3 linked regions of the Notamacropus eugenii genome follow. The protein of the gene in region 2 purifies or fractionates together with the protein of the main gene of each other region. This does not show direct contact. Links are inferred from orthologs where the notes say so. Each region holds a gene or a part of one and is shown on either strand. Other genes may lie near its edges.

Evidence for each region.
Region 1: the proteins of CUL4A (region 2) and DET1 purify together in Homo sapiens (affinity purification with western blotting; 6 studies listed by BioGRID and IntAct, counting the BioPlex papers as one, with this or other methods). This does not show direct contact. The link is inferred for Notamacropus eugenii from reciprocal best matches to the Homo sapiens genes CUL4A and DET1.
Region 3: the proteins of CUL4A (region 2) and SKIC8 purify together in Homo sapiens (affinity purification with western blotting; 3 studies listed by BioGRID, with this or other methods). This does not show direct contact. The link is inferred for Notamacropus eugenii from reciprocal best matches to the Homo sapiens genes CUL4A and SKIC8.

Annotation. Positions count from the first base shown.
Region 1 is NC_092872.1:168,077,030-168,080,774, forward strand, and holds the start of DET1 (DET1 homolog), read right to left. Parts: upstream 2,519-3,745; 5' UTR 2,327-2,518; intron 505-2,326; 5' UTR 490-504; coding exon 1-489. UniProt on the Homo sapiens protein: Component of the E3 ubiquitin ligase DCX DET1-COP1 complex, which is required for ubiquitination and subsequent degradation of target proteins. The complex is involved in JUN ubiquitination and degradation.
Region 2 is NC_092877.1:207,996,950-208,000,694, forward strand, and holds the start of CUL4A (cullin-4A), read right to left. Parts: upstream 2,278-3,745; 5' UTR 2,141-2,277; coding exon 1,975-2,140; intron 1,565-1,974; exon of another isoform or gene 1,427-1,564; intron 250-1,426; coding exon 134-249; intron 1-133. UniProt on the Homo sapiens protein: Core component of multiple cullin-RING-based E3 ubiquitin-protein ligase complexes which mediate the ubiquitination of target proteins. As a scaffold protein may contribute to catalysis through positioning of the substrate and the ubiquitin-conjugating enzyme.
Region 3 is NC_092872.1:255,271,910-255,275,654, forward strand, and holds the start of SKIC8 (superkiller complex protein 8), read right to left. Parts: upstream 2,801-3,745; 5' UTR 2,633-2,800; exon of another isoform or gene 2,517-2,632; intron 2,189-2,516; 5' UTR 2,151-2,188; coding exon 2,139-2,150; intron 1,615-2,138; coding exon 1,587-1,614; intron 515-1,586; coding exon 409-514; intron 1-408. UniProt on the Homo sapiens protein: Component of the PAF1 complex (PAF1C) which has multiple functions during transcription by RNA polymerase II and is implicated in regulation of development and maintenance of embryonic stem cell pluripotency.

The sequences.
Region 1 (3,745 bases), on a different chromosome or scaffold from region 2:
GAGGTAGGCAGCTGAACCCACAATGACACAACGGCAGTCATCTGTGAAGAGGCTACACTCACGATTTAGGTGTTCACCATTAGCCGCAACATTGGTGATATGCAACAAGACGAAGAAGCGTTCAAAGAGTCGGCCTCGGATGTTGACTGACCTCTGGTCATTGCCATTAGCCAAAATTTCACCCTCATAACCCTGCAGTAGGTCCTCTGCTGCTTGGCAGCCCTGGTACTCGTAAATCTCCAGTGATGTCTGGTCTGAAGAAAAGGCAATAAAGTAGCGCCCATCAGGTGAAAATTTTCGCAGGAAGCAAGGTGGCTTCTCCACATTAACCACAGTAAAGTTGGGGAAGACGTTCTGGTGGAACACTCGAACCTGGTGCCAGTGGGTACCAGCCTTGCCTGAACTGATGCGCCGACGCTCCAAGCGGTGGATAACATTTTGGTTCTGGATTCTTCGAGGTTTGATTGTTGGAACATCATGATCCATCATCACAGCATCTTATTTCTGGATGATTAAGAGCAGAGTGTCACACATAAAATGAAAAAAAAACAAACAAACAAACCAAAAACCCAAGTTCCCTTTCCAAACACACATCATCTCAGGGTTTACCTAAAATCTTCCACCTTTAGGTCACAAGGAAACAAGAGTAAACTTCAAGTCTGTCCTCAGCATGAGAATAATGGGAAGAGCTTAACACACTAGAAATATCTCAAGAACGCTTAGCTATAATGTGTTTCCATCAAAAACATCTGAATCACCAGAATATGTGAATTCAGAGTAAGAATTCCCAGTTAAGAATTCCCTTCCCTAAAACATATGAAGTCATTTTAAAGTACTGCTCTCACCTTAACATTATCAGTAGCCCCAATGTAGAGCATAGACTTTTAAAGAATGATTTAAGAAGCATTAATTCAAATTTAACTTCATTTGAAGACATTTACTATGCATAGTACTTGGACTACAATAAATGCTTGATAAATGCTGGTGATTAAGCACTTACTATTTATGAAGAACTATACTAGGAATTATTACATGCAAAACACTATTTGATTTAAAGACCATGACAAGAGTTTGGTTTCTCCCCCACTCTACCCCCTTTTATGCTGCTCTTCTACTCTAAGAGAATCACTCAAAATTAAGCCAAGATGAAAGTTCAGAAACAGTTTCATAAACCTCTTGTTTTCATACTGTGCTTCTTCCATTTTTTTCCGCAATGTCCTACTGCCGCCTCCCCCCAACAGCATTCAACCCCTCAAAAAGGATGTTGGAGTGGTGGGAAGAGGCCCCTGGCTTCTGATTAAAACTCTCCCCCCCATGCTGGTTTTCTAAATTACTAAGACTCTGGAACTCAATTCACTGGATCATAGGATTCAGAGATAGTTTAAGACAAAAACAAAACCTCAGATCATCTAGAATAAGAAGCTTCTCAACCTTTTTCATTCGTGATATTCTTTGGCTTTAAGGAAACCTTTCAGTTTCAATATGAAAGGAGATATTCTAGAGTTTACCATGCAAGAGCATGTAAGAAATAAAGAGACTCGTTTTTCATACAGAACACTTTATTCAGCGTGTAACACTTTTAGTATCATAAAATAATCACTAATACCACTACTTTTGGACTATTTCAATAAAAAAGCCAAGATATTTACCACTTATTCCCTCAAACCCCTCAACGAGAGGCTCACACCCCGGGGGGGCGGGGTACTTCCACCCCAGACTGGCAAACCCTGATCTAATCAAACCCTTTCCTTTTCATAGACTAAAAAAAAAACTAAGGTCCTGAGGGGAATGAGGCACTTTGCACGGGTATGAACCTAGCTCTTCTGCCTCCCAATCGGCTTCTCTTTCCATGACATCTCCCTGCCTCTCTTATCTATCTTTTCCAGACTTAACCATAGAGGAGTTGGTTTAAGGGCAGTCTCTCCCCATTTCCCCAAGAAGAGGAGAGAGCCGGCGGCAAAGGTTACGGAAAGCGGGGAGTGGGTGGAGTCCGGGAACACCGTGGTGCGGGGCACAAAGCCAGGCAAGGCCGGGGCTGGGCCCCGGGCCCCGGCCCTTACGCCCGGCTGACCTCCGAGGGCCCTTCCCGCTCTAAGCCCTGAGGCTCCGCCAGAAGGGGGAGGCCAGCCCGCGGGGAGCACGACTTTCAGGGGCAGCTGGGCTGGGGCTCGGTTAAACCTCGGGGCGCGGGGGTCCGGGGGAGGGAGGCCGGGGAGGAGCGCGGCCCAGGGTCCGGGCGGCCCGGCCGGCAGGAGGGGGCCGCTGGCCGAGAGGAAGGCCCGAGGACCAGAGAGCCGACGAAGCGGGAGAAGGGGAGCGTCCTCACCCGTCCGTCCCGCGCCCCCCGTCGCGCCGGGCTCATGAGGCCGGGGCGAGGGGATCCCCGGGCTGCGCTGGCCGCACTCCGACGGCCGCCACGGCCGCCGCCGCCACCGCCATGTTGCCACTGACGCCGGCACCCGGCGACAACGGCCGGGATGGCCCCGTTCCCCCCCACCCCCCTCCCTCAGCCGGCCCACGGAAGTGAGGGCCATAGAGTTGGAAGCGTGCGCAGAGAGCGCACCATCGCCTGCCCGGCAAGAGCGAGCGCGCCCCCTGGCGTCCGGAGGTGAGGTGAGCCCGCCTGAGCTCTAAGCGACCACGCCTGCTGAAATTGACTCCCTCCTTAGCAGCCGTTCCCGTTGCCTGTTTGCTGCTCCTGGGGGCACAGGATGATGGAGCGGAGCTGAAGCACGCCTTTTCATTTTACAGATGAGAAAACTGAGGCCCAGAGGAGGGGGGTCACACTGCTAGTGGAGCCAGGATTCCAACCCTAACCCCCTCATCACCCGTCATTAATTACCCTCTGTATGACATTCATTGTTTTGATTCTTCAGACACCGTTCAATTCCATGTCTTGTTACAATGTAGCAATGCCCAGAGCCTGCTGATATTTAAGAGATGGGTGATTGTCGGGGGAGGGGAGAGAGAATTCAGAACTGAAAATATAATAAAATAATGAAGCAAAATAAATTGTGTATAATAAAATAAAAATGAATTTTAAAATATATGTTTAATTTTAAAAGTAAAGCATGGCCCTTGGCTTTCATGGGAACCTGGGTCATTAAAGTAACTTTGTAATTTCCTGAAGGAAATCAGCTCGTGGTCCTCCTGTTCAACTCTGCCCAACTTGTCAGTCAGTATTGTCTGTCTCAGGTATACATATTTGTGGACAAACCTCATAGGTTGCATTATAAATATCCTCTGGATATTGCTAAGTATCTATTAGATTTGAAACATAGTAGTAACATATTTCTTGTAACATTATTCTTCTCTGGAGTTAAAAATGACAATCACATAGAGGAAAATAGAGAAAAGTACAGTGGCTGTGAGCAAGCTATAATATATGACCAATGATGAACTTGGAAGAAGACCAAGAATAAAAATGCCAGGAAAATCAGATGGGCTGGTTATATGTCATGTGGGATTATGGCTACATATCTGGAGTAGTCCACTATTACCTTCCCAATGTTAAAAAGAAAGACCTCCAGCATCATAGGGGGGTCTTCTGTGGTGAATTTTTTGCAAGACATGAGCAAGTCATACAAAATGGTCAAGCATGAATGGATTGCAATCTGAATAGAGAAAGGCTTCCAAATCAATGAGATCAGAGATCCATTTGATCAAGAGTTTCCTCTTGGCCAGATCAATCTCTTTAAGATACAACTTGAAGGTAGCCATCATTTAATGGCTACCATTGCTTACT
Region 2 (3,745 bases):
GTTGGCATTAAAAACAGAATACTCTCCTGGTCAAGCTTAAACATTCTGCAAGTAAAAGAAAATCTGACATTCTCAATTAAATAAGTACCAACATTTTTCCAAAACTCTGCCCCACTGACATTTGAGCACTTACCTGATAGAGTTCTTCAAGATTGTATTTAATGGAGGTGCTACTTTGTATGGCTCTAACTGCTTCATGAAGTTTCTGCCATGTATCCTGAGTATAATTATCTGGCAACTTCGGTCTGTCTGTAAAGCGGGATACAAAATAAAACAGAAAATAGCTTGCTCGTAGCCAATCATTTTAAAAAGCCTACCAAACTATGCATTCAAAACAATGGGCATGTTAGGTTAACACAGAAATCAACTTCATAAATATATCTAGCAAAGTAACATGATTCTTGGGTTAAGTACAAGCAAAATGCAGGTTAACAGTTTCTCTTAAATCTGTAACAATACTGGGCTCCAAAGAATAAGCATTTAAAATTTAAGTACTGATTTTAAATGTTCAGTAATGGATAAATTATCCTGACTCCATTACTAGTATAAATTACATATTAAAGAGGCTTATTTCTAACACTATAGCCAGTTTGTGTAAAGTAGTAGAAAGGTGAATTGCTATGTACCTAGTACCATCACAGAAAGTAGTACTGCTTTTTTGCTATAGTGATACTTATTAACAGTATTGGATGATACTTTTTTGGGAGAGTGGAAATGGTCTGGGCTTGTAATTTCATTGTGGTAGGGAATTCCTAACATGCAAATTCCCTTCCCGAGTGCAACCCTCAAAGTTTTTAAGAGTTTCTAGGGTACGGAGAAGCTGAGTAACTTGCCCATGGTCACAGTGCTAATATGTATCAGACGCAGGACTTGAACTGACTCCAAGGTCAACTATCCACCACATATTTGCCTCACACAATTAACAAGCCTTTTTAGACGTGTTTCAAATCTAGAGTGTTTAGGCTCACTTATCAACTCTACAAGAATAATTTGATATTTGATAAAAACACTGTTAACTAAAGTACACTACCACAGTACTATTTTATTACAGAAACTTTTAGACTAGCCAAGCCAGTTTTAAAAAGTCAAATGATCTCTTAAGGAGTGATGAGCGTTATTGCTGAGATCTAAAACAAACTTTACAGAGCCTTAAGACCCTCTTATGAACATTAAGAAATGACAATTTGTATTGTCACCACACTAGGAAATAAATTGTCCAGCATCACAATCACTGCTGAAACTTAAGCCCTCCCACATTCAACACCTGTGAAGATTTACTGACATTTCTGAATATTCCCGCTAACAATCGACAGAAGGATACAAAGTATCGCCACAAATGGGGAAATGATTTAACGCACAAAGGTCCACTATTAACGTCTGCTTTCTCCCTCTACGTAAGAGCCTAACCAGAGGGCTGGAGGGAGTCAGTCGGGACCCCTCGGACTAGCGACTTAGGGGGCGGGGGCCGGGGCTATTTCTGACAATAAGAAAGGAAGAGGAGGATTATCTCTCGCCAGCGCACTGGAGTGGGAGGGCCCCGGCCGACTGAACGAGGTCACCAAAGGTCAGCGCAGCGCGTGCAGGCGGCGGCCCTCCGCCGAGCCCCTTCCCCATTGGCTGCCGCTGAAGTCATGCAGCTCAGGGAATCCTCCGGCAGCGCCGAGTCGAGCTAGCGGGCCGCCGCCGCCGCCGCCTGGAGGTTGGGGGGGCAGGAAACAGTCTTCCCCCCTTCCCTTTCGTGCCCCCGTGAAAAAAACACGCTGACACCCTGGCGGATCCCCGCCTCCACGGCGGCGCGCACCGCGGGGGGAGGGGAGAAGGGACGGGTCAGTCTGGAGGAAACAACCCCCCCTCCCCGGGGCCCTGGGGGTGGGGAGAAAGGGGAGCAGCCCAGACGCGGCCCGGCCCGGCCCGAGCTGGCCTCCCCGCCCGCCTCCCTCCGCGCCCTCACCTCGTTTGCACACACTTACCTACCTCTGAAATTTTTAATCACTAATTTCTTTGAGGAGCCGCCACTGCCCCCGCCCCCCCCGGGTTTCGTGGCGACGGCGGCCGCCGCCAGGGAAGCGGGTTTCGTGAGGCCATTGGTGTGTCCAACGAGAGCCGAAAAGTTCCCCTTCTTGGGGGTCTCGTCTGCCATGTCTACTGCCGAGAAAACAAACCCGCGGCGGCCGCTCCGCCCCCCCACCGGGGCCCCGTTCCCTCCTCCTCCTCCTCTTCCTCCTCCGGCCGCGGCCCCGGGCTCGCTTCCTCCTCCTCCTCCTCCTCCTCCTTCTTCCCCCAATGCCCCGGTCTCTCCGCCTACTTCTCCTCCCCCCGCCCGGTGCCCGGGTCCCTCCTCCGGAGGTGAGAACTAGGCCCCGGCGGGGGACAGCTCGGGGAGTTCCAACCAATCTCCTGCGGGAGACCACTGGGGGAGGGGGAGTAAGGGGGGCGGGTGGGGGAGGGGCGGTTCTCTACTGGTCCCTTTCCCCCCACCTCTCCCTGGATGATTCAAGTGATCGGTGCTACTACCGCCCGGCTACGGGGTGAGGACCTGACTGGTGTACCGCCGGCCCGACCCAGGGCTGCTCCGGAGTCTCCTCCCACCGCCGCCCCCCTCCTCTTCCTCCTCCTCCCGGAGGTTCAAATCTCCGAGGCGCCTCCCCGGCCCTTCTCACAAGGTGGCACCTCCTTCTTCTCCGAAGAACAGGAGAAATGGGGCCCAGCGAGGAGGCCTCAGAGCGTCGAGGTGGGGGGAGCGGCCGACGGGTGGGAAGCCCGCGGCTGCCAACCGACCCCCAAGAGGCCGGGCTCCTCAGCTACCTCCCCTGCCCCAGCACACACGTTCCCCACCCCCACCCCCGCCAGCCTGGGTGACTTCCGCGCGACGCCCCACGAGCCGGCCTCCCACGTGCCCACCCCAACCGTCAGGCTCCTCCACACGCGCCCGCGCACACCCGGACACCCCGCACACACTTCCTATTGTTCACCTGGCCCGCCTCCCCTCCCCCTTCCCTTCCCTTCCCTCCCTCAGGTGCGAGCGGCCCGGACGCCCTATTCTTCGCGGCGACCATTGTGTGTTCCCATCCGGCCCTGTGGGGCGGGGACGGTGTGCTTTACACGCGGGAAGCCGAGTCTTCCGGACTTTCCCGCTGGTGGTGTCAAGGCCGAGAAGGGTTAGGAAGGGCCCCTCTTAACGACCCGCCGGGCGAGGCGTCAAGCCGGGCACGCCCGAAGGCCGAACCGCCCCTCTGGCGGCCGCCATTCCGGTGACGTAGAGGCGGGGCGACCAGAGGAAAGAAGAGGCGAATGGAGAGGCGGGGAGGAAGAGGAGGGAGGCAACCTTTCTGAGACGGCAAGCTTAGTCAGTCACAAAAGCATTACACAATGTTATTTTTTGTAAAAAATTTAATTCGCCCTGAGCCTAGAAGCGGCGTCGGCCGGCCGGCACCTCAGTCTTCGGGTGGACCCAGCCCTAAAATCGCGGCCACGGAGCACTTCCAAAGCGGCTCCAGAAAGAAAACTTTCAGTCCTTCTTCCTACCCGCCCCGGCAGCCGCGATCCCTGGTTCCGGCCCCGGTCAGTCCTCAGACACGCGTGCGGAGAGCCCTCCCTGCTGCTTCCCCCACCCACGGGGTGGCGTCCTTATCCTCGGCCCCGGAGTGAATCCGTAGTCCAGCACTCCCCGCTCCCCACCGTGCCCATGCCGGACCGGAGCCTCAGACGCCTGGGTTCCAGAAGTCGGTAGAAAAACAGGAGCGCG
Region 3 (3,745 bases), on a different chromosome or scaffold from region 2:
TTTTAAAACTTACACATAGGAGGGTGTAAGGCTGAAAGAACATTAGCTGTCCCTCCTTTCCTACAACTCAGTATTTTCCTGATTACAACCACTGGTTTGTTTTTTTCAGTAGTTGTAATTTTCCCTAATAAATATTTCTTCAATTAATCTATCCCACCCCCCTCCACAAACATACCCAGAGAGCAAATTAAAAAACAACAAAACAAAAACATAAATCCCTCAGTACAGATTCACATAGTTTGGTAAAACAAATTCCCACATTAGTCACATCCAAAAATGTATATCTTTTTGCAATTTAAACTCACCACTGTTGAAACCAAAAAAAAAAAAAAAACCAAAAGATCATGTAACCTGATGAAAATTCAAAAACTTTATTTAAGCCTAACACTCCCAGAAAAATTGACTTACCATTTCCACACTTTGACTAGATCATCCAAGGATCCTGAGACAATCATTTCAGAGTTCTCTCTTTGATTTGTCCCCCAGGCAACTGACCAGATGGCATCATCATGAGCTAGGACAGGGAAAAAGAGTTATTCATCACAAGAGGGTTGGTCACTAGGTGATAAAATGTTTCAAGCAAAAGAACTCAAAAAGACATATACTATAGGGGGAATCTGTGAGCAGAATGAATATCCACAACAATGAAATCATAGATCTTTGACATACCGAAGTTATGTTTCAATCATGTGTATAAAATTTATACATATAGTTCCATAACTCCAAAAACAAAGATATTAAAATAGGCTTAAACTGGACAACAGAACATTGAGGGGGGGAAAAAGAAGTGCTAGCTGGGAAGTTTCCTAGAAATCATGAAATCCAGCCCAGTGGCACAGAGATGTCATACACTTACCAATCCTTGTTGGATTAAAATATTATCCACCATGGGCTATCTTTTTTCAGACCAGACCTGTGATTTCATTATTATAGAAAATATCTAGTGAGGAATTTCTTCTACCATTGCAAATCCACACTTTCTCTGCAACTTAAATAGAGGTAAAGTTGCTGGCAGCAGAAAGAGTCTACATGACTCATCCAGAGTCACAGAGTAAGGATGTGACACCAGCAGGAATGAACTCAGGTCTGCCTAAGAGGTCCACTTGCTAACCACTACATCATGCTGCCTCCAGTACAATCACATCCCTTGTGCAAAGGGTAAACTATTTCAATCTGTGGGCTGGAGGCTCTTGCTGTGTGGAGCAGTGTATTTTTGTTCATCTTCAGAACTGCAAGTCAACTGAGAGAGGTATTTGATAAAAGGTATTTTAACATCAAAAGACCTGGGTTCTAGGCCCATCTCTAACCCAAACTTGTTGTGTGACCATGGGTAAGCATGTACCCAAAAGGAATTTATATCTGATGCCTGAAGACCAGCCTCTGTTAGGTTTAGAGAGAGAGGTTCCACACTAGGTTGGCTGAAGGACACAGAATTTTTCAGTCATAGCAAGTGACCCATTGTACTCCCTAAAAACCCACAAGACCAAGTAAGGATGGGCTCAGGAACTGCAGCTCTGCAGAACAAGGAATCTTGAAAGCTGTTGCTTTCTGATGAGAAACCAAAGGCCAGAAGACTGTTTCCATACCTTGTTCTTGTTTGAAGAGAATGCTATACTGAAAAGAGAAGAGTCATCACGTCACACAACTGATCAGAGCTCCACAACAGACCTTCTCTATCCAAGGGCCCCTCGCTCCCACAACATCCCCCAGGCATCTTCCCTGACTGCCCCTCGTACAGCCTGTGCGGGGCGGAGGGGCCCCTGAGGCCCCTGGACCAGCATCCTCATTTAGCAGACCGGGCAGAGTTTGCCGGCCAGTCTTCTGGTGTGTTTATACCTCATCTCCGCACCTCGGCCACATAACCTGGGCAGACCAGGAGCTGCCTTCTTAGACACTTTTCTGTCACCTACGTGAACTTGCAAAGGACAAACGCCTTGTTCGGTTCTCTCCAGCCCGTCTGACTCTCTGGGCCCCCAGCAGGGGGGCCATTTCCTTCTCCAGCCCATTTCACAAAGGAGGGGACTGAGGGTCACCAGGCAGCACAGAGTATCTGACCCAATGAGCCCCATCCTGCCACACCACACCCTGCTTCTCTGGGGGAGCCCTCAGCCCCAGGGCGCAGCCTCTTCGATGCTCACCTGGACACTCATCTCTTCCGCTTAGGGCGAGCGACCATGGGCAGACTGCTCTGGGGAAGAAGTGGGTGTTACTGGTAAAGGGAGGGCCGGCCTCGGAGGAACCCCTACCCCAGGGGCACCCCACCCCGGCCTTTGTTTACCCCGGACACGAAGGCCGTCTCCCCGGCACGGCTGGGGGCCGTGCGGCCTCACGGGCTGGGGAGAAGCCGAGAGGCCCCGGCGCAGCGTTGTCACCCCAGGGCCCGCCCGGCCGCCGCTTACCACACCCAGGGGGGCCCCTTTTACGGAGGGTCGGGGACGGGATCCCCCAGCCGGTGGCGGGCACGCGGCCCCCCGCACCCCCTTCCTGAGGGGAAGCCCGAGGCAGTGTGCTCCCACCTTCTCAGCGGCCGAGGGAGAGGGGGGCTTGGGCGGGCAGACAACCTGACCTAGGCCAGGCCGGCCCGCCTCCTTCGCCGCGGCCCGCTTGGGCTTTCCCCTGGTCCCTGCCTCACCCGCTCTGGGCTCTCCTGCTCAGCCTGGACTTCCCTCGCCGAGGCCTTCCTCTCTCAGCCTCTTCCTTAGCGACAGCGGCACCGGGTAATGACGTACGAGCTGAGGATGCCGGCGCACGGCGCGCTAGGGTGACGCCACGACGCCGCGTGAGCTCCGCGGTGGCGTCCGGTCGCCCCCTGCTGGGCTCAGGTGAAAAGGAAAGAAGAATGAGGAGGTCCTCGGGCCCCGCCCACTGCGGTGCTGGCTCCGCCCCCATCCCTAGGGCCCCGCCCTTCCTTCCAGACCACGAATTCCTTTCTCCAGCCCGGAAAAAATTACAACACCTGAGGGGGAACTGTGTGGGCCCCCGGAAACGAGCCCCCAGCCTCTGCCCTCGCGCTTCCGGCTCCGACCAGCCTGGGGACCTAGGGCCCCCGAAGGTCTACACGGCTGCCGGAAGCTTCGGCCACGCGCGTGGAGCGGTCCTGGGGATGGCCTCGGCCCCTTTGCGTACTTGGCACCCCGAGGCAGAGACCCGCCGCCGGCCGTCTCCTCTGGGCCTCCCCACCCCGAGTCCCCGCGGCACGGGCTTCGCCGTCGTTCAGCTCCCGACTCCGGGCATTTGCCCCGGCTATCGGGCTGCCTCCTGGCTTCCTGCGGGCCCCAGCTGAAATCCCACCTTCTATAAGAGCGTTTCTCAGGGGCTCCTGAGGCCGAGCCTCCAGGCCCTGGTGGCCGCGTCAGGACAATTAACTCTCCCCCGCTCCTGCGGGGCCTACTAGAAGCCCCTTTGTTCTCCCCCAGACGTCCCTCCGGGCACGAAGCCCCTGGGTGGTTCAGAGGAGTCAGAAAGGCCCGAGTTCCAATCCAGCCTCAGATCCTTCCTAGCTAGGGGACCGTGGGCCAGTCACGTGACCCCTGCCTCGGTTTCCCCAAATGTAAAACGGATGATAACAGCACCCACCTTCCAAGTTGTTGTAAGGATCCGATGAGATGCCATTACGAAGGGTTAGCCTTGTGCCTGACCCCTAGCAGGACCTCTGTGTAAATGTTAAAGAGTGTATGTTATTAGTGTTACATTGTAGCGTTATACTGTGAGCTCCTGCAGAGCAGGGACTGTCTTACGCCTTTCT